Linked DNA regions of Struthio camelus. The protein of the gene in region 2 purifies or fractionates together with the protein of the main gene of each other region. This does not show direct contact. Links are inferred from orthologs where the notes say so. Each region holds a gene or a part of one and is shown on either strand. Other genes may lie near its edges.

Region 1 (7,940 bases), on a different chromosome or scaffold from region 2:
TGTTTAGCCTTGGAGTTGCAGCAACGCCAGGTAGCTAATGTGCAGGTGGCAGTATGTTTCTGTTGATGTGCCAGTATGGTCTCCCTCATCTGCAGACTCTGGCATCTCCGTTTAAGCCATTTTTGTTTAAAAGTCCCCATGTTTAAATCTGCAAAATAGCATTGTCCTGCCTTGCACTGTAAATTCCCTGATACCAGGTGTGTATAGGGCAGACGCATAGCATTCACAGCCTGCAGCCTGTTTCTCCTTTCTGTCTTGTCAGTGCCTGATGAGAATGAGCTCTGCACACACTCCCTTCTCTATTTCTGATGCTCCCTGCTGCCAGCGAGCAGCTGCAGCAGCTCCTCTACAAGCAGAAATGGAATGCCCACCTGCCTCAGACCCCTAGCTTGGCAACACAGAGCATGAAGTCTGAGAAGTGTTTCAAGAAATGCATTGGCTGGTGAAGAACTCTCCCGCTCAGGGGCTTGAGAGGAAGAGAGAAGTTTACCCACAGGCAATCATAGATCCTAGAGCAATCCCTCTAACCAAAGCGTGGAGAGCCCACCAGAGAGCCACAGCTCCACAATGTGGACACTCATAGGCAGGCCTGGCAAGGCCACATCAACTTTGCAATAAGTATACACCCACCTATGCTGCCAGGCTGACATTTTAGCTTCCAGGTTAGCGGTTTAACTCTAGCTTTTTGTGTGGTTGCTCCATTTCTTGTAAAACTCCAGATTATAATATTATCTGGTACTCAGTGCAGGACAAATGCTGAAGCAGTGGTTCTGTCACAAGCAGGAGTTGGGGAAAATTGTAGGAAAGAAGCCCAGACCTATGGGCTTTTTCATGTAACTCTTTCTCAAAAGAGAGGAGCAGGTCAGTACGGCCTGTACAGAGGAAGGCGGTGATGTAGAGAATTAAGGTGTGAGAGGAGGAAAGAAGTAAATCACCATATCCAGGCAAAAAGAAAAACAAGAATCCAGATAAGGCTGAATGCCTCAAGTTTCATGGCACTGGGGCTGCAAGGAGTTCTAGTCAGCAGAGGCCAGTCAGAACCCCAGGGAGCAGGCACCGAGAGCTGACCAGCAAAAAGCACTAACATAGGCTTTGTATGGCACCATGAAACTCAGATTAAACCACTCCTACCTTCCTGGCATGTGCTGAGGTATGAAGCTATTTAGGAGGAAATCAACCTCAGTGAAAAGAGGTAAATCTGACACTGATTCTCTGCCTTTAATCTTTCCTTCATACATACCGCCCAGGTATCCCTCCCTTTCCTTTGGCTAACCAAACGCAGGAGCTTTCCTCTTCCCCTCTGGACTCCACTAATCCTGCTGTATTGTTTTCCCACCAGATGGACAAGGACACTGTCCTCCCACCCAGCTTTACCTCTCTCCGCATGCGGATACAGAAGGTGCAGCACTAGGAACAGGGAGAGAATGCGTGTGTCCACTGTGACAGAAGCTGTGGCTCTGGGGAACGTTCAAACTGTTACACTCATGTTACAAATGAATGCACCTACGCTTGCGGCTTCATTAGTGACTCTATTCCCAAATGAAAAGGCAAGAAAATGAATGCTTCCTGCAGGAACTGAAGACAAATGGGAAGCAACTTAAGAAAATCCCCAATACGGAAACAGATAACAAATCTTTTGAAGTTTTGCTTCTCTGCGGAAGTGAGTCCTTATATTCAAACAGGACTCAGTAGCCTTGTTTATAAATAAGACTAGTGAAATTATAGGGCCGAGGTAACTGACTGGGTGATTGGGTGACTGGGTGACTGGGTGACTGAGCACTGGAACGTTTTGCCCAGAGAGGTTGTGGAGTCTCCTTCCCTGGAGATATTCAAAAGCCATCTGGACACAATGCTGGGCAACGTGCTCTAGGTTGAGCAGGGGGGTTGGACTAGATGATCTCCAGAGGTCCCTTCTAACCTCGGTCATCCTGTGATTCTGTGAATTGGTACCCAATATCTACTCTACCTGAAGTCCGCTGTAACGTTAAAGTCACTTCCTCCATATTCATTCCCATAAGCCTTTTAAAAATGTGTTTTTTTCTTTTAGAACCTACCAAAATGTAATATGCTATGCTGTCTTTTAAGGGCAGCTTGGTAGCTGATAACTTACAAGTGTTGTAGTGTACACAGAGAAGAGTAGCACTGTCTGTGCAAAACAAAGAAGGCTTTTGGTGGAGAGGCAGGGATCAGAGGATTTAATGTAGGTCCCATTCCAGTTAATGCCAAATTCTCTGTGAATGTAGGAAAAAAGTATGGAAAAGTGAGTCAGAAATGAAGAGAGATTTCCGAGTTGCAAACTGTGGCAGGGAGAACTGGTAATTGTTCTCAGAGCTCTGAGTTCTGTATTTAATTTTGTACCTAACTTGGCTGTGGGCTTGTGCTCATGGTTATTATCAATTATTTTTATACTCATTTCACTTGAGAACTCACCAGGCTAAGTACTAAACAAGTGTGAAAAAAAAAAGAGAGTTACTGAACCTAGAAATTTGCATCTTAAGTAGTGTAGATAGGAGAAAATATGCAGACAAGGACAGATAGGGATGTATATAGGAATAGCAAGACCATATTGGTCACCTTAATGGGCAGTAGCCCTTAGCACGCAATTAATCTTGCATCAAAGATAAGTATGTCCACCTCACAAAATGTTCTGCACGGGCAACAGCCTTTCATATAATGGGTTTGTCTTTGCCAATGAGACAAAGGAACTGAAGGAACATACTGCATATTCTTTTAGCAGCCTCTCTCTCTGGCATGTAGGGCCAAGAATGCAAGATGTTCTGAACAAAAGGAATAGGCAATATTCTCACAATAGCGTGAGATTAACTGATGCTGCACTTCAGGTCTTTGACACTATGGGGACTGCTTGCTTTTCCTGTTCCCTCAGGATGACCTTTCCAGTTCAACAGTACACAGAAACAGTTCTGTCAGGTGTTAGACATTTGGAGAGGTTGTGACTCTCTTAAATTTGCTATGTGTCCTGACATTTTCTCCACCTGACCTCTACAGTCCAGGTGTATATTCTAAAGGGATGCCTGGATTTTCTAGAAAAGGAAAAGGCTAAGTTGTTTGAAAGTAGCCAGTAAATGCCAGTGCTTTGTACTGGATCTCTTTATTAGCTCTAGGGAATAGGAATGACTGAAATGAGTTTTTCTGAGCCCTTCTGCACTGGTGAAAAGTGCAGAATGAGGGATTACATTATATTATTAGTAGTATGATTAGTGTTATTAGTATTATTAGTATTCTGTGGGAGGAGAGGAACATGGATGCATCTCAGCAGGAGAGATCTGAATGCTTCGTGCTTCAGTGGCTTTATGTACAAGTATCCTGCTATATGCTCATTTTCACAAATTCACCTGCAAATTCACTCTCTCCCCTCCACATGCAATCACTGACACAATCTAATACCTCTGAAACATCCAGTGCTAAAACCATTAAACTGCAGGGGAGCTGAAATTCTTTCTAGGATGCAGAATATTAAGCATACCATCCCCACATATTTACTAGCTACCATTATCAAACATTTGCAATCTTCAGACATGAGGCTAATGTAGGCTTTTGATTTTCATATCGATCGTATCTCTGTTCCTTCAGGCTGCACCTAGCCTCCCCCAGCCATGCTAAAACTTTATTTCCTCCCAACTGTTTCTACCTGACCTGTAGGCTGTCATGCTCACTTGCTCAAGGAAATTATTCGATGTTTCCATACAGTCTGTAGCACCAGCAAGGAAGCTCAAGACTGTAAAATTCTGTTGACAGAAGCCATGTTTTTCTTGTACTCAGTGCATTGTAGAACAGAGTAGGGACCTATCACTGGAATTTCTAAAAACATCATCAGTAATCTGTGACAAATAGCAGGTCTTGGGCAATGTGCTCAATTCTGGAAAGGTTCTGGATATATATTTGTGGAGAGATGCTTGTCCCATTAGTGAAGACCGTAACTCCTTCCTGTGTTATGGGTTGGAAAGTAAGGACAGATTTTATAGAGAGCATAAACAGCAGCGGGAATGAGTATATACATGCATGAGAACACCTGCACAGGCCTCGCACACGTCCTCATGGTTGGTGGGTTTTACTCTGAGGTGTTACAGCTGCTGCACCTGCAGACATTGATCTGTGCACAGCGGCTGGGGAAATTTATTAGAAGCTGTAACCCCTCACTTGGAATCAAACTATAGATGCACACAGTGCAACACAGCGAGGCCATTCTGGTTCCTGTAACTGTTCCACAGTTAACTCAAATCATCATCATCGTTACACACTTGTTAGGACAAAAAAAAAACACGACCAAGACCAGGAGGCAGATCTGTCAGTGCAGGGAAACCAGTGTATCTGTGATGGGTCAAGTCTCTTTAACCTTGGCCATGGCTGGGAACTGTAGGCTGTGGACAGCACGCGACTGAGAGCAGCAGCTTACAAAGAGGCATGTGAGCTCCCGCCGGCATCTGTATAAAAAGAGGACTTCTCCATCAGTAGAGATAATGGGATTTAAGGTAAGAGTTAAGTGAGGTTTGTTGAATAGGGACCTCCTGAGCTAAGGAACAGAGTGAAGAAAAGCTCACATGGGGGGGGGGGAGGGGAGACTTGTTTTTTTTGTTTTTTTTTTTCCAGCCAGTCCGTTCTTGAGCTTTTTTTTTTAACCTCGGTCTGGAATCCCCTTGCAGTAACGGACGAGCCCTCCAGAAGGCGCGGGGGGCAGCACTCCGCAGACCCCCGAGACCGCTCGCCTACCGAGCGCTGCCCGCGGCAGGAGCCAACGCCGTCGGCGCAGGCAGAGACCGGACGCGCAGCGTGCGCCGCCCGGCGCGGGAATGCGCCCGCCCTCCGGCGCCTGCGCCATCGGTACGCTCGGCGCGCCCTTACCCCGCCTCCCTCTCCCTCTCCCCCTTCCCCTGCTTGCTCGGCGCTCGGCTGGCTGCGCCTTGCCGCCGGCGCCGGGCGGGGTGTGTCTTTTCTCCCACTCCAAGATGGCGGCCGACGGTTACGGCGGCGAGGCGGGAAGCGGCGGCGAGCGGTGAGGCGGCGGCGCCGCCTTTGCGCTCCGGAGCTGCGCCCGCCGCTTGGCGCCAGCGGGCTGGCAGCTCCCGTCTCCGCTCGGCGCCACCGCCGCGGGGGCACAGGCTTGGCCTGCTCCAGGAGCAGAGCTGCGAGCTGGAGTGAGGCCGGAGCCCGCTCGGGTGAGAGGGCACGCGGGCGGGGCGGGCGAGCGGGGGCGGGGGGGAGCAGCGGCCGAGGCCGGTTCAAACGGAGGCGGCGGGAAAGGCGCGAGCCGCGGCCGTTGCGGGAATTGGGGCGGGGGGGGAGGGGAGGGCGTTGGTGCGCATGCGCAGCCGGGCTCCGCGCGGGGGGCTGGCGGCGAGGGGCGGGCGCGCGCGCCCGGGTCTGTGGCCGCCCCGCAGGCAGGGGTCGGCGGGCCGGGCCCACCGGCCGCGCTGTGGCTGCGGCCGCCCAGGCGGCCTGCTTGGAGGGACAGCTGTGCCGCCCGTCGCCGCTCTGCGCCGGGGCGCTACCTGCCTGCGGGCGCCGCGCTCGTGGAAAGACGGGCGCCAACGTCTGCCCCCTTACACGCGCCCCGAAAGTCCTAGCGTGGTTTCCGCGCTAGCACGGCTGGCGCTGAGAGAGCACGGAACGTCTGCGGCAAGTTGGGAGCCCTGCTGCTGGCCTCTCTGCTTCCACGTACCGTCATCTGTCACCAGCGAGTTGTGCAGCCCCGCTTGGAGGGATGAAACATGAGAGTGCTATTGGGTTCGCACAAGAGCGATGTGTGTTCCTGATCCAGCAAGCGCTTGTGTTAAGGACCTGGAGACTTGGAGAGACCTGCCTCGCTGAGCCTGTGTGATGTCTTCTGTAACCTAAGAATCTAAAGCACTGGAACCTAATCAGATTGTGTAGAAGACAAGTTAAAAATGTGCTTTATATTTGCAGGGTTAGAGATCTAGGTTGTAAGCCCCTTTGGGCAGGGTTGTCATGTAGCAACCTTTATACCTGCCAGACAACTTAGTGAAGTTTTTAAAAGTCAGTAAAAGGTATGCCTGTAGCTCTAAACGAATCTTAGTTTCTTAGTGTCATCCCCTCATGAATGACCATCTTCTATTTTTGCTAACCAGCATCTAGATTAAGCCTTAGTCCTTTTGAGCACAGTGCTTTACTGTCGTGTGTAAGTTGCAAGATCTGGTCCAAGACTGTAAGCCCATCAAGTGGCAAGATTTTTTTTTTAATTTATTATTTTTTACTGTGGAGCACAGTGCTGTTGTGCGTATACATAAATTCTGCTTACAAATTGCTATGCTCACTAGCAACAATTTATCAAGCAACAATTTATGGTGGTCAGAATGCTGATATAAAAATACTGTGGTTGGTGATTTCCCAGAATATTAGACAACAGAAGAATTAACTTGTATCCTTATTAATTTCTCCTATGTGTCTGTAAGCTTGAATTATTTGGGGCTCTGTTCTTTCATGTAAAAAACCACAACATGTTAAATACATTGTATGTTTTTTAGCATCAGCCAGTTATTTATAAAACTTGTGTATGTGCAGGGATACCCAAAGCGTAGGTAAGATAAGTTCCCTGTACTCAAGGTATTCAGATGTAACTAATATGGTGAGATAACTGTATCAGCTAGTCCAAACTAGCTGTGTGGTCTCTGTGATTTAACACTTGCAGATGTATGTGTGCACATGCGCACACACACACGCACACACACACACACAAACACACACTTTTAAGTGCAAACTGAGTTATCAGAAGGCTATTCTTTGAAAGTTAAGCTGGTCACTGACTGAAGAACTCTGAGAGAACTAGAGTGCAACTATTCTATAATGGCAGTATCCTTCTAGATACTAGCAACTGCTGAGTAGAATACCTCAATTAGAAGAGACCTGGAACTTAATGAGCTGGCAGGGGCTAAGGGTGCAGCAAAAGTCCTAGAAAAAAGGAATACTTTCCTCTGCTCCCTCTCCCAAGCTGACATTCAGAATGGCTGCAGTGGTAGTGTCTGGAAATGCATCAGAAATGCACCAGAAAGATGTACATCTTCACTCCAAAATCTTCAAATATTTATTCAAATATTTATTTCAAAAGATCAGAAATAATTCTTTTATGATGCAATGATTCCTGCCTGAGTTCTTCCTTTCCTTCACTACTTCTGAGATTCAAGGGTTTGGAATTTCTCTTTAAACATCACACTGTTTCCTACACTGGCTCCTGACAAAAAAGATCTTGACACAAGTTCTGTTTCAATTTTTTGTCATTTAAAAGTCAAACAGCCTTTTTTCTCACACTCTTTATACTTTTGTAAATAAGTTCATTCAATGATGTGAATATTTTACAAGGAGGAGGTTGTGTTGTTACCTCTTTTAAAATAAGAGAAAAACAGCTTCCATTGTGTTTAGTTAATTTAAGAAAAATTTCTATCCAGCCTGAAATATGAGCACGCAGAGACCAGGAGGTAGATTCCCTTCCTTTCCCACTGTCTTCCAGAGAATCTTCATTTGGTTCATAGGAAGTTTCCCATATTCCATTATGATTCTTCTTTCTGGGAGGGTTATTTTCGTTCTCTGTTTCTCAGACCTTTTCCTGTAGACGGGAACGGGGGAAGGAGCCCAGACGTGGCAACACATTCTCAGGCTCCTGCAGGACCGCCATGGCTTATGATGACTCCAGGAAGAAAGAAGGTATGACTGCTTCGTAATCTCAGAGAGAGTTGCCAGAAAAGGGTACCCTTAGCCGCCCTTTCCAGGCCACGGAGTCAGAGAGTGGGAGAGAAAGCTAATCTCTTGTGGAACATTGAAGGGTATTACCTTAAATTTAATCTAGTCAGGTTTTTGCGAGATCCCAAGCCCTTGACTTCCAGAAGTAAAGTATTGGGATTAGAACTTGAGAGAAACAACTGATGTTTCCTGATGTGAAAACCTTGCCGAGGTACTCTGCCACTGCAGCC
Region 2 (7,523 bases):
TCAGGTGGCCTCTTGCCCCTAGACCTGCTCCACGGCATCTTCTGGGGTCCTCTCCTGCCCCACGGCATCTTCTGGGGTCCCCTCCTGCCCCACGGCATCCCCCTGGGGTCCTCTCCTGCCCCAGGGCATCCCCCTGGGTCCCCTCCTGCCCCACGGCGTCCCCCCGGGTCCCTTCCTGTCCCTATCTTTGCCCCACGGTGCTCCTCAGGTGGCCTCTTGCCCCTAGACCTGCTCCACAGCATCCTCTGGGCTTCCCTCCTGCCCCACGGCGTCCTCCCTGGGGTCCCCTCCTGCCCCACAGTGTTCCCCTGGGGTCCCCTTTTGCCCCACGGTGTCCCCCCAGGGCCCCTCCTGCCCCTAATCCTGCTACAGGGACCCTGGTGACCCCATGGGGACCTCCACAACCATATGGGGACCTGCATGGTCCCATGGGGACCCTGGTGACCCCCTAGGGAACCCCATGGAGATGCCAGAGGCCCCCTTGGAGACCTCCATGACCCCATAGGGGCCCCAAGGGGGACACTATAGACCCCACAGGGACCCTCACAACCCCAGGGAGACTCCCACAACCCCATAAGGACACCTGTGACCCCATAGGGACACCCATGACCCCTAGGGGGACCTCCACGCCCCCACAGTGACTCCCATGACTCCATGGGGACCCTGCAGGCCCCATAGAGACACTGGCGGCCCCATTGGGGACACCATCGAGGCCCCCATGAACCCCCCAGAGATATCACAGCCCCCACGGGGACATCACAGACCCCATGAGGACCCTCATGACCCCATAGGAACACCTGTGACCTCAGAGTGACCACCCATGACTCCATGAGGACCCTGCAGGCCCCATAGGACCCTGGTAACCCCATTGGGGACACCACTGAGGCCACCATGAACCCCCCAGAGATATCACAGGCCCCATGGGGACATCACAGACCCCATGAGGACCCTCACGACCCCTTAGGGACCCCCACCGGCCCCATAGTGACCCCTCTCCGGCCCCCAAGGGCCCCCCCAGGCGCACTCACCCGGCCGGGGAGGAGTCGGACACGGGGTGCAGCTGCATCGTCAGCTCGCCCAGCTTGGTGAAGGCGGCGCCGGCGGCCGAGAAGATCTCGCCGACCTGTAGGGAGCCGGCGGGTAGCGGGACCAGAACCGGCACCAGAACCGGCACCAGGATCACCCCGCGTGACCAGACCCAGGAGCAGAACCACGCCAATCTAACCCAAAGCGCCCCACGGACCAGAAGCAGGACCAGAACTGGATGAGAACCAACCCAATAAGACCCATATGGCCCTATGGGCCAGAACTGGGAGCAGAACCACCCCAATAACACCCATAACACCCAACTGGGAACAGAACTGGGAGCAGAACCACCCCAGCAACACCCATATCACCCAACTAGGACCAGAACCAGGAGCAGAACCACCCCAGTAACACCCATGTCACCCACCTGGGACCAGAACTGCCCCAGTAACACCCATATCACCCAACTAGGACCAGAACCGCCCCAGTAACACCCATATCACCCAACTGGGAACAGAACTGGGACCAGAACTACCCCAATAACACCCATGTCACCCACCTGGGACCAGAACCACCCCAGCAACACCCATATCACCCAACTAGGACCAGAACCGCCCCAGTAACACCCATATCACCCAACTAGGACCAGAACCGCCCCAGTAACACCCATATCACCCAACTGGGAACAGAACTGGGACCAGAACTACCCCAATAACACCCATGTCACCCACCTGGGACCAGAACCACCCCAGCAACACCCATATCACCCAACTGGGAACAGAACTGGGACCAGAACTGCCCCAGTAACACCCATATCACCCAACTGGGACCAGAACCGCCTCAGTAACACCCATATCACCCAACTAGGACCAGAACCGCCCCAGTAACACCCATATCACCCAACTAGGACCAGAACTGGGACCAGAACTACCCCAATAACACCCATGTCACCCAACTGGGACCAGAATGACCCCATTCACACCCATATCACCCAACTAGGACCAGAACCAGGAGCAGAACCACCCCAGTAACACCCATATTACCCAACTGGGACCAGAACTGGGAGCAGAACCACCCCAGTAACACTCATATCACCCAATTGGGACCAGAACCAGGAGCAGAACCACCCCAGTAACACCCATATCACCCAACTGGGACCAGAACTGCCCCAGCAACGCCCATGTCACCCAACTGGGACCAGAACTGGGACCAGAACCACCCCAGCAACACCCATGTCACCCAACTGGGACCAGAACTGGGACCACAACCGCTCCAGTAACGACCATGTCACCCAACTGGGACCAGAACTGGGACCAGAACTGGGACCAGAACTGCCCCAGTAACGCCCATGTCACCCAACTGGGACCAGAACTGGGACCAGAACCACCCCAGCAACACCCATGTCACCCAACTGGGACCAGAACTGGGACCACAACCGCCCCAGTAACGACCATGTCACCCAACTGGGACCAGAACTGGGACCAGAACTGGGACCAGAACTGCCCCAGCAACGCCCATGTCACCCAACTGGGACCAGAACTGGGACCAGAACCACCCCAGTAACACCCATGTCACCCAACTGGGACCAGAACCGCCCCAGTAAGACCTAAATCGTCCCATGGGACTAGAAGTGCCCCAGTAAGACCCAGTCGGCCCCGCCGGGACCGGAACCGGCACCACAACCGCCCCAGTAAGACCCAGTCGGCCCCGCCGGGACCAGGACACCCCCCCCCCCCCCCCAAAAAACCGGGACCGGAACCGGGATCTCCCCCACCTTGGTGGACGCTGACGTCATGGCTCCCGCCCCCGGCCCCTCCAGCCGCCGCCGCCGCCGCTCTGGCCCCGGCTCCTCTATGGTGGCGGCGCGGCCCGTACGGGCCGGCTCGCCGGTGTTACCGGCGGCGACGCTCTGTCCCCACCCCCCCCCCCCGCCGCCGCCTCTATGGTGCGGCCCGCGCGGGCCGCACCGCTCTATGGTTTAAAAACCCCCTCCCCCTAGCCCCGCCCCCTCCACTCTATGGTTGGAGGCGAGGCCACTTCCTCTTCCGCGACTAGCGACCGCTCTGGGCTGCGCTCGATGGTCTTCACTCCTCCCGCGGCGGGGGGGGGGGTTTTACACCACCAGCTTCCCTCCCCCAAACCCCCCCCCCCAAAAAAAAGAAACCCCAAAAAAACCCCATCCCGAGGCCTTTACACGCTTTATTAGAGAGATTGGTCCATAAAGAGGGAGGAGGGCGGCTCCAGGGGGGAGACCCCCCCCCCAAAGCCTTTGCCCCCTCCCCAAAATCCAAAGGAAACCATTGCGATGGGGGGGGGGGGAGGTTTGGGGAAGACGGGGGGGTTTGGGGTGAAAAAGGGGGGTCTGAGGGGGTGCGGCAAGTCCCAGGGGGTCCGACGCAGCCCCCCCCCCCGGGGGGGGGTAAATAAATAAGGGGTGGGGGCAGCCGGACCCCCCCCCGCTTTCCGCGGTCTAGCGGACCATGTACTCCTTGCGCTTGTTGAGCCGGACCTGGCAGAAGGAGAAGCCGCCGAGCAGCACGTAGAGGCCGGCCGCGATGAAACAGTTGTAGCTGACCTGTTCGTACAGGCGGTAAATCTTCTCCGGTCCGCTGCGGGGAAGGGGGTGACGCGGGGAAGGGGGTGGGACAGCCGTCAGGGACGGCCCCGCCGTGAGCCGGGCAAGACCCCCGTCGTCCTTCCTTTCACCCTCTCCCACCCCCCGGGAAAAAAAAAAAAACAAGGCTCGACCCCGTCCTCGCCGCCTGTTCCCCAAAAATACAGGGCTCGACCCCGTCCTCGCCGCCTGTTCCGCGAAGCAATAGGGCTCGACCCCGTCCCTGCTGCCTGTTCCCCAAAAAACAGGGCTCGACCCCGTCCCTGCCGCCTGTTCTGCGAAACAATAGGGCTCGACCCCGTCCCTGCCGCCTGTTCCCCAAAAAACAGGGTTCGACCCCATCCCTGCTGCCTGTTCCGCGAAGCAATAGGGCTCGACCCCGTCCCTGCCGCCTGTTCTCCAAAAAACAGGGTTCGACCCCGTCCCTGCCGCCTGTTCCCCAAAAAACAGGGTTCGACCCCGTCCCTGCTGCCTGTTCTGCGAAGCAATAGGGCTCGACCCCGTCCCTGCTGCCTGTTCTCCAAAAAACAGGGCTCGACCCCGTCCCTGCTGCCTGTTCCGCGAAACAATAGGGCTCGACCCCGTCCCTGCCGCCTGTTCCCCAAAAATACAGGGTTCGACCCTGTCCCTGCTGCCTGTTCTGTGAAACAATAGGGCTCGACCCCGTCCTCGCCGCCTGTTCCCCAAAAATACAGGGCTCGACCCCGTCCTCGCCGCCTGTTCCGCGAAGCAATAGGGCTCGACCCCGTCCCTGCTGCCTGTTCTCCAAAAAACAGGGCTCGACCCCGTCCCTGCTGCCTGTTCCGCGAAACAATAGGGCTCGACCCCGTCCCTGCCGCCTGTTCCCCAAAAAACAGGGTTCGACCCCGTCCCTGCCGCCTGTTCCCCAAAAAACAGGGTTCGACCCCGTCCCTGCTGCCTGTTCTGCGAAGCAATAGGGCTCGACCCCGTCCCTGCCGCCTGTTCTCCAAAAAACAGGGCTCGACCCCGTCCCTGCTGCCTGTTCCGCGAAACAATAGGGCTCGACCCCGTCCCTGCCGCCTGTTCCCCAAAAATACAGGGCTCGACCCCGTCCTCGCCGCCTGTTCCGCGAAGCAATAGGGCTCGACCCCGTCCCTGCCGCCTGTCCCCGAAACAACAGGGCTCAGACGTGAGTCGTGCTGTTTCCCCCCTCCATCACCCCCACCCCAAACTGAGCCCCATCCTGCCTTCCCCCCTCCCAACCAAAGCGCCCACCCCCAGCCCCATTTCCTCCCCCCGCCTTCCCCCAAAAATAATAAGCAGCGGGCTGTAGCCCCCGTTTTCCCCCATCCCCTCCCCAAAAAGCCGTGCCCCCCCCCCCAACCCCCGGGGCACTCACTCCTTGAAGTCCTCCTCGGTGAAGGGGACGTCCTCTATGAGCACAGCCGAGTGGACGTTGAAGAAGATGCCCAGGAGGACCTGGGGGGGGGGTGTTTTTTTTTGGGGGGGGGGGGAAGAAACGTACAGCGCCGTGCGTAACCCCGGGAAACGTCCGGCGGCGCGCGGGGTTCTCCTCGTCAGCCGCTCAGCGCCTGTTTACACGCAACAGGCTGCCGGAGCTGACCGGCGTCAACCGGAGCCACCCCGGGGTGACGGGGACGGACGGGTGACGCAGAGGCGCCTGAGGGGAAGCGGGTGCTGCAGGGGGAAGTGGGGGGGGGGGGGGCTTCTGCCCCATAGCAGGTTGTGGGGGGGGAACGACGACGGAGAGCGCCTGTTTTCTCTCGTTTCGGGGCGCTGTAGCCTCCCCCCATTCCGCTGCTGCTGCCCCATAGATGCTGCCTCAGCCCCATAGGGCACCTGAACTGTGTAGCCTGCCCCCCCACCACCACCCAGCCCCATAGATTCCCCCCCCAGCCGTATGCAGGGCCCCATGGATCCCCCCTAGCCCCATGGATCCCCCCCCAGCCGTATGCAGGGCCCCATGGATCCCCCCTCCAGCCCCATGGATCCCCCCCAGCTGTATGCAGGGCCCCATGGATCCCCCCTCCAGCCCCATGGATCCCCCCCAGCCGTATGCAGGGCCCCATGGATCCCCCCTCCAGCCCCATGGATCCCCCCCAGCCGTATGCAGGGCCCCATGGATCCCCCCTCCAGCCCCATGGATCCCCCCCAGCCGTATGCAGGGCCCCATGGATCCCCCCTCCAGCCCCATGGATCCCCCCCAGCCGTATGCAGGGCCCCATGGATCCCCCCTCCAGCCCCATGGATCCCCCCCAGCCGTATGCAGGGCCCCATGGATCCCCCCTCCAGCCCCATGGATCCCCCCCCAGCTGTATGCAGGGCCCCATGGATCCCCCCTCCAGCCCCATGGATCCCCCCCCAGCCGTATGCAGGGCCCCATGGATCCCCCCTCCAGCCCCATGGATCCCCCCCAGCCGTATGCAGGGCCTCATGGATCCCCCCTCCAGCCCCATGGATCCCCCCCAGCTGTATGCAGGGCCCCATGGATCCCCCCTCCAGCCCCATGGATCCCCCCCAGCCGTATGCAGGACCCCATGGATCCCCCCTAGCCCCATGGATCCCCCCCCAGCCGTATGCAGGACCCCATGGATCCCCTCCCAGCCCCATGGATCCCCCCCCCAGCTGTATGCAGGGCCCCATAGATACCCCCCCAGCCCCATGGACCACCCCATGGATCCCCCCCTCCAGCCTCACAGATCCTCCTCCAGTCCCATGCACTGCCCCATAGTTCCCCCCCAGCCCCACAGATCCCCCATACAGCCCCATACACTGCCCCATGGATCCCCCACAGTCCCATGCACTGCCCCGCACAGCCCCATGCACCACCCCATGGATCCCCCCCCAGCCCCATGGATCCCCCCCAGCCCCACGGATCCCCCTCCAGTCCCATGCACTGCCCCCCAACCCCCCCAACCCTATAGATCCCTCTACAGCCCCATGGATCCCCTCCCAGCCATATGCAGTGTCCCCCCCAGCCCCACAGATCCCTCTACAGCCCCAGGCACTGCCCCATGGCCCCCCACAGCCCCATAGATCCCCCCTACAGCCCCAGGCACTGCTCCATGGCCCCCCCCAGCCCCACAGATCCCTCTACAGCCCCATGCACTGCCCCATGGCCCCCCACAGCCCCACAGATCCCTCTACAGCCCCAGGCACTGCCCCATGGCCCCCCACAGCCCCACAGATCCCCCCTACAGTCCCATGCACTGCCCCATGGCCCCCCACAGCCCCATAGATCCCCCCTACAGCCCCATGCACTGCCCCATGGCCCCCCACAGCCCCATAGATCCCCCCTACAGCCCCATGCACTGCCCCATGGCCCCCCACAGCCCCACAGATCCCCCCTACAGCCCCATGGCCCCCCACAGACCCCCTCTACAGCCACATGCACTGCCCCATGGCCCCCCCATAGCCCCATGGATCCCCCCTACAGCCCCATGGGCCCTCACAGCCCCACAGATCCCCCCCTACAGCCCCATGCACTGCCCCACAGATTCCCCCCAGCCCCATGGATCCCTCTACAGCCCCAGGCACTGCCCCATGGCCCCCCACAGCCCCACAGATCCCCCCTACAGCCCCATGCACTGCCCCATAGCCCCCCCCAACCCCTGAAAGCCCTCCAGCCCCACACAACGCCCCACAGACCCCCCTCAGCCCCACAGACAACCCCCCCGGCCCCTTAAAATCCCCTCCAAGGCCCCACAACACCCCCCCCTCAAGCCCCATAGACCTCGCTACCTCCTGCCCCCCCACCCCCCAAGCCCCACGGCGCCCCCTCACCAGCATGATGACGCCCCAGGCGCTGAGGACGATGCCGCAGGCGGCCAACTTGGGCCCGCAGCAGAGCAAGGAGACCATGGCGGCGGCGGGAGGAGGAGGAAGAGGAGGGGAACCGGGA
Region 3 (7,280 bases), on a different chromosome or scaffold from region 2:
TGTGGAAGGACATAAATAAGAGGAACATAATCTGAAGCTGGAGAACACCTTTCGAAGTTTTGGCCCAAAGACATAAATCTCTGCAAAGATGAACAGTACTAAGTGTATAATAAAGTTGTTTGACAATTTAATGATTTTATAAATGCCTGACTTCAGCTTCCAAGGCCAAATGGTTATGTTGCAAGTAGATAGCATCAGAAATTTTCTATGATAAATGACTTAACTTCTGACAGCTTGATTCAGAAAGAAGTGTTACAAGAGGGCTGTTATGCCAACATACAAAAAAGCAGTTCATACACATGTGTATACCCATGCCTCCATTAGATTACTATGTAACATAGCATAAACTTCAGTGTGAAAGACTACCAATGCTAATACTGGAAACAATCTCCTTGTTACCAAAGTGACAAAATACTTCACAGTAGCCCATTTCAGATGTTTCTTTCAGCTCCCCGGAAATAAATTAACATGCTCCTAAATGAACATGTAATGTAAATGAATGTGTCTCAAAAAATTAAGTCATCTGTCTACCTCAGATGAGTCTGAAGTTTCTCCTGGACAGAGGAGAATGGTTCAATATTATGAGAATCCCCTTGGAAAGCTATTGCATTACAAGTCCAAAGGCAGATGGCTCTAATACCAGACTGTCTGTCCTGTTACTCAGATTTCCCTAGCAGAAGGAAATTTCACACTGGCCATACCCATCCAGCTTATTCAGAAATAATTACTTGTGAATAATACGCTTTCCCAGTTAAACAAGTAAGTGAACTGGTATGTAAATTTACCACAGCTACAGCATGGTAAATTCACATTCTACACCGTAACCTTCAAGAAAAACACTTCAAGAAAAAGCAGGGTGTTCCCTGCTCACCCTCACTCCTCATTGCAGTGTTTCTTCATCTGATTTACAGATCATTGATGGCCCCACAATATCAGAAGTAATGAACAGGAGGAGACTATCAAAAACTGAAGTAACACACAAACAACTTAAGACATACGCATCCCAGTATCCTTTCTCTTCCTGACAACTTACATAGTGAAACCATAGCATACTCTTTCCTCAAAACATTGCTGGTGGAGCTAGATGGGTAGCAGGCACGACCACCACATCTGAACTTGCTGCTGGGTAATATCCTGCCTTATAAAAAACTAGAGCTTGCCAATTATTACGTTTTGATATGAATAAGAAAGCTTTTCTCTTTTCCTACTAACTGTAGCATATGTCTAATACAACACAGAAGCACAAAACAATTCATAAGTTTATGGGAGTCGTACCCCAGAAACAATACGCTAGAAACAATGCATCTTCAATAGTAAGAGGACTGATTTAACAGAAAATCTGATCAGCAGAAGCCTCAGTGCAAAAAAATATATATACCAGCAAAAGGGTACTTTCACTTTTAACTCATTTTGTGCAAGGAACCATCTGGTTATTACCCACCTCTACCCTAAAAAAATTTTCCACTAAAGATTAAACTTGAGATAACATAGCCCACTGAAAAATTGTGTCATTTAAACATCTTATGATCAATAACATTGCACAATTCTTTCAAAAACAGAGCCCGAGGCATTCCAGGGACCCAAAACACTTTCCCTTAAAATCTCTATTAACTAGTCTAAACAAAGCTACTAACCTCAGGCTGTGAGAGAGAATTCTATCTAGTCAGTGCAATAGTTTGTCCTAAATTGGATTATCCACATGAATGCCTAAATAAATGACTGGGAATAAGAACTGCTGCTTTGGTCGACTTTATTCCTGTACCCTGTGCTGCTGAGTTTTCTAAATAGATGCATTAATCAGAAGGACCTCCTTTTGTGTTGAACTCACATATGCAAAGTGGAAACACATTGCAAACAATCATTAACTTCGGACTCTATTAGACTGCTGCTGCAACAAGAGACTATGTATAGCGAAGCAAAACCTTGAAAGGGGTAAAGGGGCGCAACAGGTTGCATTATATCCCATTATTATGTAGCTTCCTACCTGTAGAGTTATGGAAGTGAAATTCCATAGTCTGAATGAAAACCTCAAACAACAGCAACCTCCTTTTTTTTTTCCTCCTCCTTAAGAAAGGTAGGGAACAGTATGGTTGATACATTCTAACCTGTTCACTACTCCCAAAGGATCTCGCCAGATACTCATTAGACATTTATTATCAATTTTGTATCAGCTGAGATGTATACAATTTGACAGTACAAGCTGTATCCAACAGAGAGATAATCCTTTTTTCTCCCGAACCATCAGGTGATGTTCACAAGTACACTGCCCTCTATTTCACAGCCAACCGCCCTTCTCGCACAAGAGTGCAAGAAACAGGCGTTCTTCTCAGGGAAGAATGGACTTCCAGGGAGAAACAGACTTTCCCCAGCTGGAGTTAAAATTCTGACGGCGCTATCATCATTTCTGCCAGCTTCTGCAACGCCACAGCACCCGGGCACGAGTTCTCACAGGGCTCCTTCCTCAGCTTACATCTTGCTCGGTTTCCAAGGATACCTGAAAACACCGCTGCGGCTAGCGGCCTTAGCCCGGCCGTCCCGGTGGGACCTTTTCCTCCGACCAGCCCCGCAGGCCGGCGGCCGCCAGCCGGGGCAGCCTCTCGGGAGCGCTGCGCTCCGCACCGGGGCTGCGCGCGGCCGGCAGAGCCCCAGGCGCCAGGGCCGAGGCCGCCGCCGCGCTGCCCGCCCGCCCCGCGCCGCGGCCGAGCCCGGGGCCTCCCCGCCGCCCCCGCAGAGCCCCGACCCGCCGCCCCCCGCCGGGCGCAGGGCAAGGGCGGCCGGCCGGCCGGGGAGGGCGGCACAGGCCCTGGCGCTGGGCGCTCTGCGGCCCGCCCGGGCCCCCTCCCCGGAGCGGTACCTCCTCGGCGGCCGGCTCCTGCGCAGAGGCCGCCGCCGCCGCCGCCGCGGAGGTGGACGGCACTTCGCCATCCGAGCGGGCGGCGCTGCCGGGGCCGGCGTCCATGCTGCGCGCGGCGGGGCCGGGCCGGGCCGGGGCCGGTGGCGGGGCGGGGCGGGGGCGGGGAGCGACCCCACCGCCCCCAAACAGCGCGCGGCCCGGCCTCCGCCCCCCGCCCGCCTTCCCGCGCCCGCAGCTATCGCGAGACCCCACGCCGCGGCGGCGGTGCCACGACACGGCCGCTCCCGCCTCTCCCGCCGCCGCCAGGGGACGGGGCGTCGCGCATGCGCACACGCCGCGGGGTGGGGTGGGGGGCGGTGGTTGGAGCCGTGCCTGAGGCGAGGCGAGGCGGGCGGGGCGGCGCTTGGTGCCTCGTGCCGCGGCGCTGCGAGGCTGCCGCCGCCATCTTGCGGCAGCGCCGCCTCACGGCGAGGCCGCCGCGGCCCGCAGGCCTTTCGGCTCTCCCAGGCACCGCCGTGCTCTCAGAGCCAGTAGCCGTGACGGTGTGTAGCCCACTACAGCCACTGCTAAGGCCCCCGCGCTGCCGCATCTGTAATTGTCAGGCCCCGAGGGACGGGACGCAGCCTGCTGCCAGTGGCAGCTCAGCCCAGGCATGTCCCCGCGCCCTGGCACGGCCGTCGTCCCGGCTGCTGTGGGAGAGCGAAGCGTCCGTGCTGACATGGGGAGCGGTAGGAGCTGAGGAAAGAGGCAACGCTGCAGGAGCCAGGCTGTGGAAGAATACGGTAAGAGATAGGAAACGGTCGCAGTTGCAAATCATATCCCTTGGTTCTAAACAGTGCTGCATATCACCAGTACGTCTTCCTAGGTGCCCCATGCTCTGTTCGGGGGAACATGATTCCTTAACATCTGCAGAGCTAAGGTATACCAAAGGTGTTCCCAAGCCAAGAGTAGTTTAAGGGGTATTCATTAGAAACATTGTTTTTAATCATTCTAAATTCAGCAGTGATTACATATTTCATGTTGAAAGCTGCACTTATGAAGCCACTCAGTTTGCTTTTTGTCAGCGCGCGTATTTCTGATTGTCCGTACAAAGAGTTCAGGTTCTAAGCTGCAGAGCTCCAGCTTGGCTCATTCTCCTGAAGGATTCCAAAACAATCCTTGAGATGGCGGAGTTAAAAAACAGAGAGCTCCAAATCATCCATTTTACCTGATGATTACTTGCAGAGGCAATACCTTGTCCAAAGAAATAGATCAAACCCCAGCCCTGTAGGCAGAACAAGCAATAAAAGTTTTTTCATTCCAGTAACAAGTTCAGTATCTGTTATCAAGATCTTTCAGCATGAATCAGCAACTAAACTGAGCAAATGGGTTATGCAGTTCACATACACTGCATTTAGAAAGGTGCATCAAAGACCTCTCTGCAATATATACATAGTGTCCAATAAAAGATGTCATTCTGTGAAGAGTTAACCCTGTATTTCTGAAATGTTTCCATGACTGCCTGATCGTTCTGGAATTCAGTTTCTAAATCATGGTCTAGCATAGACCACAAGAAGCTCTGAAACTTCTTGTGAAACAGCTGCAAAATAGCAGTGCTATTACAAATTATTAAGCACACTACTGCCTTCAGTGTCTGTTGCATAGTTTGCAACAAGGCAAGGTCCACAGTGGTCTTCAGTAGACCTTCCAGGTAATTTATTTTTAAAAACCTTTGGGAAGTACATTTTTCTTAGCACAACTGAGGAGTGACACGACTGTTGCTAAGAGTACTCCAAATACCTTTTCTAAGCAGGGTCATCTAGATCATAAAGCTTAACGTTACCTTTGCAAAAGTCTCTGAGTTGGGGAAAATCTGCTCTGTGATGCATTTGTTCTTGCATCTTTACAGAAAACAGCTCACTAGCCGTTTTTAATACTTGACTTTCCTACAGCAGTTTCAATTGCTTGTAGCTTCTGTCTATACGAAGCACTCTCAAGTGTTTGTCACAGCTTGATTTTTACTTGAAATTCATGGGAACGTTACATGCCGTACAAAACAATCAAGCTGCAGCTTTCATGAAAGGTGCCCTTTGAAGATTTGTTACTTGTGTGCTTAGCATTTGCATTTGGCACTTTGCTTAGATGTTCTTAGTTACCTCCCATCGACTATGTTGTGTGCTCCTGCAGGTCCACAGACCATGAGATGAAAAATCACTTAGATATACACTAGTATTATCAAGTCATATTCCACAAATCTAATTAAATATAAAAGCATAATGTTTTTTGCATATATTTTACACCTTTTTATAGTTACATCTTTTGTAATACTTGTAAATTTCACAGAATTTCTCTGAAGTTTTTTGTTGGGGTGGGGGGGATGACACTAGCTGTCATGTTAAAGTTGTGGACTTAGCTATTACTTCTGTGGTTTCCCATTTTTTTTCCTCCCTTCATTTACAATCTGCCAGGCACAATTACCAGTAGTCCCCTAAACACTTGAGTTTCATAGCAAGGCCTTCTCTGTCCAGCTCAAAGGTGGCACTTGACATATTGTGTGACAGGCACTATATTTTCTTGTTAGACACAGAAAAATAAATTGCATATACTTAGGCTCATAGTGTCCTAAACTGTTACCATTTTACATTTCAAAAACTGCTGGAATATGGAGAGAGTTGGTGAGGTGTGGATCCAAAGATATTTTCATAGTTATCTCTAGATAAGACTATAAAGAGTCTTTCCTTTGTGATCTTGGACGGTAGATACTCAGCCTCTCCCAAACAAGTAGTTAATTGTGGTGGACTTAGTTTCTCTAAACTAAAGCTTGGGTAACTTTTTTTAAAAGGTCTCGATATTCTGTGAAATTGCATTATAGGCCAAATTGTCATAAGATTCCGTTCTGTATGAGTTCATGTAAATGAATTCTATAGGTACGTACCTATGGGTGTGGATGGAGAAATGTTACCACAAAGCTGATCAGAGAGGTAAAGTATGTGCTGAGAGATTGTGTGTGAAAAAAATCTCCCAAGAACTGATAAACTCCGGAGAACAGTAGACCTGTTGAATGCACAAGAAGTGATACACTCAGTACACCAACAGTTTGCCAAATCTGTAGAAGGCCACCAGCACACACAAGCATCAACAGGTCGTATAACTCAGACCACATCCAAGAAAGTGGTGGCTGTGGCTACTACAACTACACAAGCCTACAGCATCATAAATACACCTGATGGAAGAAAGAATGCCTTAAAGGACTTTCCCAGCAGCTACCTAGAAGCCACTGGCATGTCAGTGTGACCCTCTGCTTCTGAATAAACATCTGGGGCCAGCCACCTAACTCTTGCTCAGACCACGTAAATATGTGGTGATTGTGTGTACGTGTAATTGAACCGTGTGAGGAAATAAGTGAATGCACTGTGTGAATAACTATCTGTTAGTAATAAGAGTTTGAATCTATTAATAACTACTTAATAAAAGATGTCTTAATATCAGTTGTGATCTGTGCCCTCTCTTACTTAATCTCCTGTGAGTGAAAAGAGAATTTTACAAGAAAAGGGTAGTATTTTTGTCAAGTGCCACTAGATGGCAATATCATGCTATATTCGGTTCAGAAATCCTGCCTTCAAGGTAATTGGGCAGCCTATATATTATTTACTATGAAAGCAGCTCACTCTTAAAAATAATTTTATCGAGAATAGGAAAAACTGTATATACATTATATTTATGAAGCGTCTCATACCTACTTGTGTTTAATTATTTGTAGTACTTCATTCTGTACATTCAGTATGTTCCCTGCAATACAAAGATGTTGAGGGGGTGGGGAGAGGATTTCACATTCAAGAGACTCTCCATTAAATGCTATGGTCCAAAAATCTATATATACACACCTAGTCATTTGTAGTTTAAATATGCTGGCTATGAACTTAAACCACAAAATACATGTGAAAACACATGAGCTGTAAGCAGTAAACAGCTTTATAGACTGGAAACAAGTAGGATCTGGGATTAAAAATAAGTGCACTATCTGGGGAGTTTGGGAAAAACTAGTCTATGCGGGAACTGCTCTTTAAAAACAGTTTCCTGACTTTACTGCAGAGTTAACTCACATGGTTACCACCTTTATCTATATAGGCTAGCCCAAGTGTGAATAACCACAGCACACTAACCATTCATTACCTCAATTTCAGTGTTATGCTCTTGCTTAGTTAAGTTTTGCTTATATTAGATACCTTCCCTTCCCCCTCCCCCCAAAATCTCAGTTGTTAGCTGGTTCAGTCTCACAATTGCTTTAGTTGGAAAGAGTGATGACAGAGCTAAGTGTTCCTCTGATGTAATCTTATACATTGTAATCTTAACAATTAATCTGCCAGGATTCTGAGGGTACTGATAGGCCTTGGAGGCCCTGACCAGCCTTACCTGGGGCCTCCACCCACACCCCCTATCCATGAGC
Region 4 (7,557 bases), on a different chromosome or scaffold from region 2:
AAAAAAAGGGCTTCGAGCCAAGACTGAACTAATCAGAAGTTCCAGTATATTGCCAAAACAACATAGGTGCTTTAACTATTAATCAGTTACTCAGTGCCAGAATACCATACACTCTATGGAATATTATGATTAAAATGCTTACATTTAAACTTACTTTAAAAAGCTAAAACTGAAGTTACCTTGATCAAGTGGAAAATAAGCATATAAATTATCAAAATGATTTCTGCTACTCAAATACCAATTAAGACTTGTCTACGCTTGCACAACAATGCACACAGAGATACTTTATTATTATTTGCCAGCACATTTCAAAAATCAAATACACCTGTATTTTGTAGAACTCTTTTTCAGCCTGGATTTTCACGTCAAAATATTTTCCTGACCTAGCCTCTTAAAGCGATAAAAATATTTTTTCCCTGACAAAAGCACCAAAAAGAGGTAGTCAGAATGAAAGTTACCACAACTAAACAGAAAATTAAGAGTTAAGAGAGAAGGTCAGAATTTTTCCTGTGAAGCTAGACCTCCATCTGTAAAGTAATAAATATCCAAAGGAATTCAATTTCATTGTAGTACATCCCTGCAACAGGTAAACTAGCACTAACACTTATTCCAGAAACAAACAAATAAAATTAATTCATTTAGTGACATACATACTTACTTTCAATTCCCTTAGGTTCCTAAGGATATGGATATAAATTTAAATATTTGCATATGTATATGTATAGTTACACACACCCAGTTTTTCAAAGGACTACTAGAGTATCAAATAATGGACTGATACCAGTAAACTCACTAAAACAACAACAAATGACACATTTAGTAGCCAGTACTTCCCCCTTTTTAAAAGTGATCTGCTAGCTACTCAAAACTACACACCTTAAAAAAAAAAAAAAGATGCAATGCATTTGCACAACCTGTTCCTCCCCCCTTCCAAGCTGGTCAAATACTTGTACAGCAACAGTGTTTGTTATCCTGGAGCCCAATTCAGCAACACATTCCCAGGTTATCCCCAAGTTTAACCAATGTCCTGGCTCAGAGACCAAAAAAAAAAAAAAAGAGAGAGAGAGAGAGAGAGAAAAGAAAATAAAAAGAAAACAATTAAAAAATTCTATGCCTGAACTCCATTCATTCTGGAATTAATTCAAATAAACCTAAAGTGCTTAAGTTCAGATAAAGAATTGTTGAGGCTTCAAACCCACATACCTAATGAACTAATTAAAGACAAAAAAGAATGCAGGCCCTGAAAAAAAAATTTAGCCCAAATTTGCCATTAGGTTAAAAAATAAAAAATTAAAAAAAAAATTTAATCACGATGTTAAAGACCTTTAAACCCCAATATGAGTTTTAAAGCTTGCCACATCTTAAAATAAATGCGGTGTTTAGAACCAAGACTTTTGACTCAACCTCCACCCTTTAATCTTTGTGTTTAAGAAAGCCTTATTAACTAAAACTAGGTTTACACCCTTGCAATGAGGCCCTGTGCACTTTTCCCCAAACTATAACAATGCAATCTCCATTTTGAACAATGCACCTCATTTCCCTCCTTGAAAAGCTAGTTTTGTCTTAAAGCCAATAAATGCTGCTTCCAGTTGTACCTCTGATTTCAAGAGCCTGCAAATTTTCAGTGTTTATGGGTTTTTTAGACTACTTCAAGTTGCATGTGCTTCTTTTCCTTATAACATTAAGTTACATTCCCAGGCACAAGCCACCCTCTCCTGTATATATTTGCAACCACTTCTTAGCAACGCATGCACCTCCTTTCCCTTGTTTTTAAATCCTAAGTGAACGCTCTATACACTTTTGACGTTGTTTGCAACACGTTCTGGTGTAGCACGCATTTCTGCGGCGACCAGAACCTCTATGCATATTCGCCAAGCATCCCCTCGTTGCAGCATGTATTACCCCTCCTCCTCCCTCCCCTGACTGCATGTGTGTTTGCAAGCACCTTCTAAGGTTCCCTGCATCCATGGGGTTGCCAGGCGTTAATTTGCATACCCCTCTCTCCCTGTGAGTGCTTGCAGGCATCCCTTACGATCTGCATGCATTCTTCCTCCCATGCGTGTACGTATTTGCAAACCTAGAGGGAGCATGTGGGGTGCCCTCGCCTCGTTTTTCGCTCATCCCACTGACTCTCTACCTGGGGTGCTGCTGTAGGTGCTGTGGCTCCTGAAGCTGCTCTCAGTGCAATAACTGGCATCGTCTTCATCCTCCATCTCTTCAGGGTAGTCAGAGTCGTCGTCGTCCTCCTCCTCCATGATCTCCTCCTCCTCTTCCTCCTCGGAGTCCTGGTTATCCTCGGGGTCTCCCTCCTCTTCCTCCTCGGACACCATGCTCTCCTCCTCCTCTTCGCTCTCATGATCGTCGTACACCACTTTGCTGATGCTCCTCCTGGACGAGGCAGCCCTGCCTTGGCTGTTGCAGCTGCCTCCTCCGCCTCCTCCCCCTGCTCCTCCAGCCCCGGCCCTGCCCCTGCCCTTACCGCTGCTGCCTCCCCCACCAGGGGTGCTGCTGCCGCCGCTGCCTCCCTTCCTCTTGCTGCCCCCCCTGGGGGAGGTGGCGGCCGAGGAAGAGGCCTGGGCAGCCCCGGCCCCCTTCTGCTTGGGCCCCGCCGTCTCCGCCTGGGCCGAGGTCGCCCACCTGCCGCGGCTGCTGCCCCGCTGCCGGGACCGCAGCCCCCCAATGGGGCCCGCCGGGGCGGGCGGAGCCGGGGAGCTCGCCTGAGTGCTGCCCGCCGCCGGCTGCTGCTGCTTGGGCGGCCTGCCTCGCCGGCCCCGCATCTCTGGGCGCTGGCCGAGGGGGGAAGGGAGGGGGAAGGAAGGCTCGGGAGGGCGCTCGGAGTCCGGACAGGCGGCTACGGGGAAGCTCCCCCCCTTGCGAGGGATCCGGACCGGGGAGGGGGGCCGCCGAGCTGTGAGGGCCGAGGGTTCAATCCGAATTGCCGGCGTCCCGCTCCGGATCGCCACCGGCCGCCATCTTGTTTCTTCGTCTCTGCCTCGGCTCGCTCCGCTCTGACTGGGGGAAGCGGCGGCGGCAGCAGGCCCCGAGCGCCTCACGTGACCGGCCGCGCCCAGCCGCCGCCGCCAGGGGGCGCCGCCGCCGCGCCGCCGCGAGAGCCATGTTGGAGCCAGCGCGCTGAGGCGGCTCCGCGCTCCCCCGCCACCCACCCCGGCCGCGCGCGCGCGCGCGCTCGGGGCTCCCGCCGCTGCGCAGCCCGCGCCGAGCCCCCCTCATCGCCCCGCCGCCTCCTTCCCCCACCCCCGGGATAAAGCTCCCTAAACCCCCCCGCCTTCCACCTGTCCCCAGGCTCTGCCTTCGGCCCCGCCGCGGGGCTCCCCTCAGCGCACGGGGGCGCCCCGCCGGCGGCGGTTCACCACCTCCCCCCGCCCCAAAACTGACCATCTTCCCGCTTAAATAACGACGCCCGTCACAGGAGCCCCGCCGCCGAGCTCGACCCGCCGGGTTGGGGGGGGGCCTCCCCCCTGCCCCGAGCTCAGCTGGCCGCAACTCCCTCGCGGGACAGCTGCGAAGGCAGGTAGGCAACAGGGCTCGTCCCGCCGCTCCGGCACCGGCCGAGGCCCCTGGCTGCGGCTCTGCCTTTTTGTTAATCCTGCAGAGCCGCCAGATCTCCCCCCCCCCACCTCCCCCGTTAGGCAGAAGCGAACAACACCCTCTTTACAACTCACCCTCGCCTGGCCACGGGCGGCAAAAAGCCGAAACGCTGAGGAAAACCACGCAGGACACACGGCCCCTCGCGTTGGTGTCCGGCCACTTGCCCCAGCACTGCTGCAGCACTGCAAGACCGAGATAGGCTGCACCTGCTTTGTATTCCCTCATGTGTTTCCAGTCCAGAGCCCCCAAAGGGCAACCAAAAAAGAAGAAGAAAAAAAGCCACCCTACAGAAACCAATTGCAGAACTGGGTTTCTAATACTGCCGTTGAATTCAGGGTATTGCTTTCCCAAGCAAAAGAGGTACAAGATGAAACCCAGCCCAAGGCATGAAAACCACTTGCATTTCCCACAACCAGCCCTTCTCCCTCTGCATTGGCAAAGGAGCCCAGAGAATCTAGTCTTCTGTTTAAGCAAATAAATGCCTTCGCGATGCACAACCTAGCACTGGTCACGCCCTGAGCATGCCAGTTGTACGTTCGATATTTAATTTAATTTGAATTCTTCCATAGATGTTTCTGAAGTGCCTTGTGTTCATAAAGTTGTTGCTCAGCCCAAGAACCTCATTAAACCCACAAACCTGCTGCATGCAGTGTCAAGCACGCAACAATGCCACAATGGCACCAGGCAGCAGGGTTTAACCTGATTTGCACTCTTACATCCAGCTTTTTATCTGCATCTCTTTTCCATTTGGTCACACTCTTTTATATTCAATAGTGCAGCTGCATAGGCTCAGAGCCATGTTCTAGACACAGTACCATCCAGACACAGTAACAGCGGTAGACAACATTGCTTAATTTAACTTACACCATTATACTCAATTTGTATTCTGAATCTTTCAAAGTTACCTTTAGTTTGCTTCCATCAAGTTGATTTTTTTAACCTCTCAAAGTTCCACAGTATTGTGGTAACTATTAAAATACATACTTACACAACTAGTCCTAAAGCATGCATCTGTGTGTTTATCTCCCTCTATGATCTTGGGGGGAAAAAAGTGTGAATTGTGCCATCTATGTATTGAGAATCTAGCAAAAAAAATCTAGTGTAGCTACTACAGAAAACATTCACACAGCCTGTAGCCTTAGGAGAACGTTAAGATCTGTGACATACGGTAGGTTTTGTGTACCTGTAGCAGATCAAAGGTGCTAAGAATCCTTTGTTTGCTTTTAAATAGCGTAAGGCCAAAATACATTGTTTCCTAATCCCACCTTTTAAGACTTGTTAGTCATTAATCTGGAAGTGCTTTACTGAATAGAACATCAGAATTATAATTTTATAGATGGGGAATGGGGATGCATTGACAGATATGTTAATTTTCACTCAGGACTGAAAAATTACTCCTTTCTAGAGCATAGCTTAGCACGGAGGAGGAGGGGAAAAAAAACCCACAACAAAACAACACACACAAATCATACAACCCCCCAACCTACTCACCTATCCTCGTCCTTTCCCAAAGACAAAACGCATCTCCATTAGGAACTTGAAGTTCACATATTAAATTTGCTAGTATAGTTAAATGAGCACATTTCTAAGTGAATACAGCAGGAGGAAAAATTTTAGGTAGGTGGTCCTAGGCTCCCTCCATACTCAAGATGGATGGAGAGAAAGACTCCTTTCAAAAGGCACTTTGGAAAAGATGAATAGCCTAGTTGTTCCAAGCTGTTGTCTGGATAGGTTCCTTTCTCCACTAGTAAAGGAAAGAACTTACGAACCTACAGTTGGATGGCATAAATAATCCAGCAAGCATATGCTCTTGCTTACATTACTGAGCTGCTTTTGTCCAGTCCTTCCCTCCAAATGTGTCACAACTAACACATACTAGGCACTGAACTTAAGTACCCTGCTCTAGAGTCCGTAACATGTATATTGGTAAGACACTGAGAGGTTGCTAAGTATTGTTAGAATAGAGCTCAGCTATAGACTAAAACTCAGCCTTAGAAAGCAAGGGCTTATGTGATTTTTGCTGATGTAATCTACATACTGATTGTAATTTTATTTAATATTACAAAATACATAAACTGTATCAATACACTGATATGCTGAATTATATTAACATTCAATCACATTATTTACAAAAATAAGTTTAAGTTGTTAACATCTGATCTGCTATTTTGGATGTAGACTGACAAACTGTCTTCACTGGGAGCTCCTATCCCCCGATAGCCCCTTTATTCAGTAGATACTTACACCTGTAATAGTGTCAACAAATGTTGCATTCATAAAATTTTGAGATTTGGATTTCACTTTTGACTAATCTAAAACAAACATATAATTTGGAATGTTTACGTTCTCCACATGCATAAACCTCAAGCTGTATAAAACAAGCAGTATGAAGCAGGTCAGCCTAACTTTATAGAAATTAAGGCATTCACCCTTTGAAAACGTATTTTTTAAAAAATGGACACCCTTGTAGGTAAGAATATTCTTATTTTAGTTAGGAGGTAAGTCATCTTGCTCAGAAAGTTTAACCTACTGCTGCCAGTGCCAAGAAGTACCACTCCAAATGATTCTTCAGCTGTTCAGTTTAGGTTTTTTTTGTTTTTAAATATATATATATTTCAGTCCTGACCTTTGATAAGAGTGGTGTATACAACAGGAAAGTGTTAATTTCCACTCTTAAGGCCTTTAACTGTGTGCATCTGTTTCAAAATCATACGGCTGAAGTCCAGTAAGTTATGCACCTAGTGCTTCAACCATAACAGTGTTATGTTCTAGCTCTTGCTAGAGAGGGGATGAAAATGCCAAGAAAATGCTATTGTTCATTCTCAGGCAACCTAAACCTTACAAAGGTTAAGAGTGCATTTATTCAAACAATGCTTTCCAGCATTTTGCTCCCAATGAAACTGGATGTCTCCTCAGTGTCCTATTATGTCAGCACAAGTCAGCACTCCCATAGAAAAAAAAAAAATCATAGATAAAAAGTTATTTTCAGCTAGGCCACTCTCCGTTCTAACCTAATGGGCAAGATATTTCTGCCAGCACTGCTCAGGAAGCAAGAATGGTAACTGCTTTTATGAATAGTATGGTCAGCTTAAAGACATGTCAAACTGAATCCAAAGTCCACTGCATTAAAGTCCACTGCATTAAATTTTACCTTAAGGTTATTTTAATACCTCTCTCTCCTCTTCCCCATGAGCTTCAAATTGAACACTGGTAACATTTCAAACAATGCATATTTAAAAAGACAAAACTATCTTGGATGCAATCTTTCAGCGTCAGAAAGCTTCCAAAGTTTCTAAAGCAAAAGTCTTAAAATACAGCTAGTTATACTGTAATCCAGTAACTGCATTCTGCAAGTCTGTGCAGGAGAGCATGCTCCTGAAGGGAGGTCTGTCTGCTTAAGAAAACAGTCTTTTCCTTCTTCAGCAGGAGGCAACCTCTGAGATAATAATAAGGATTGTAACAAGCTATCATATTAAATAACTGTACTTTGCTTCTTCATTTGAGGAAGGAATCTAGTTCCTGCCCTGTATCTCTTCCTTCTCTATAGCTGTAGACAACTTCTGGATGCAGGTGGTCTTATCAGAATGAGATTCACCAAAACAGCTTTAGATTATCACGGTATAGGGCTCGTAACTGCTAGCTGCCGCACAAACCTCCTGCACCCCCAACATCTCTGCTTCAGAACAATGTAACAAGGTTGGATTAGAAAAAAAAAAAAAAGGGGAGGGGGCACAAAATGGAGGTTGGACTAGAAAAAAAAAGGGGAGGGGGCACAAAAATGGTACAGTAAACTAATTGTGGTACTATAATGTCTAAGAGAGAGAAAGCAGTGCAAGTTAGGTACCAACCCTATACCCATGCTTAAGTTCCTTTCCCTGTATAAGTTAAGGCTGTAGATGCCAAAGGCTTCTTTGGACAAAGTGAGAACAATTAAAAATAGGAAATCAA

What was found.
Region 1: the proteins of BACC1 (region 2) and HMGXB4 purify together in Homo sapiens (affinity purification with mass spectrometry; 4 studies listed by BioGRID and IntAct, with this or other methods). This does not show direct contact. The link is inferred for Struthio camelus from reciprocal best matches to the Homo sapiens genes BACC1 and HMGXB4.
Region 3: the proteins of BACC1 (region 2) and SMARCA1 purify together in Homo sapiens (affinity purification with mass spectrometry; 4 studies listed by BioGRID and IntAct, with this or other methods). This does not show direct contact. The link is inferred for Struthio camelus from reciprocal best matches to the Homo sapiens genes BACC1 and SMARCA1.
Region 4: the proteins of BACC1 (region 2) and BPTF purify together in Homo sapiens (affinity purification with mass spectrometry; 5 studies listed by BioGRID and IntAct, with this or other methods). This does not show direct contact. The link is inferred for Struthio camelus from reciprocal best matches to the Homo sapiens genes BACC1 and BPTF.

The regions. Positions count from the first base shown.
Region 1 is NC_090942.1:59,909,598-59,917,537, reverse strand, and holds the start of HMGXB4 (HMG domain-containing protein 4), read left to right. Parts: upstream 1-4,927; 5' UTR 4,928-5,174; intron 5,175-5,576; exon of another isoform or gene 5,577-7,568; 5' UTR 7,569-7,643; coding exon 7,644-7,674; intron 7,675-7,940. UniProt on the Homo sapiens protein: Negatively regulates Wnt/beta-catenin signaling during development.
Region 2 is NC_090978.1:338,591-346,113, reverse strand, and holds the start of BACC1 (chromatin complexes subunit BAP18), read right to left. Parts: upstream 3,004-7,523; 5' UTR 2,822-3,003; coding exon 2,801-2,821; intron 1,124-2,800; coding exon 1,029-1,123; intron 1-1,028. Other genes in the region: RNASEK (ribonuclease kappa), read right to left, coding at 3,497-3,635, 5,001-5,080, 7,406-7,483. UniProt on the Homo sapiens protein: Component of chromatin complexes such as the MLL1/MLL and NURF complexes.
Region 3 is NC_090952.1:9,558,314-9,565,593, reverse strand, and holds the start of SMARCA1 (probable global transcription activator SNF2L1), read right to left. Parts: upstream 3,005-7,280; 5' UTR 2,960-3,004; coding exon 2,855-2,959; intron 1-2,854.
Region 4 is NC_090960.1:4,481,915-4,489,471, reverse strand, and holds the start of BPTF (nucleosome-remodeling factor subunit BPTF), read right to left. Parts: upstream 3,012-7,557; 5' UTR 2,778-3,011; coding exon 2,138-2,777; intron 1-2,137. UniProt on the Homo sapiens protein: Regulatory subunit of the ATP-dependent NURF-1 and NURF-5 ISWI chromatin remodeling complexes, which form ordered nucleosome arrays on chromatin and facilitate access to DNA during DNA-templated processes such as DNA replication, transcription, and repair.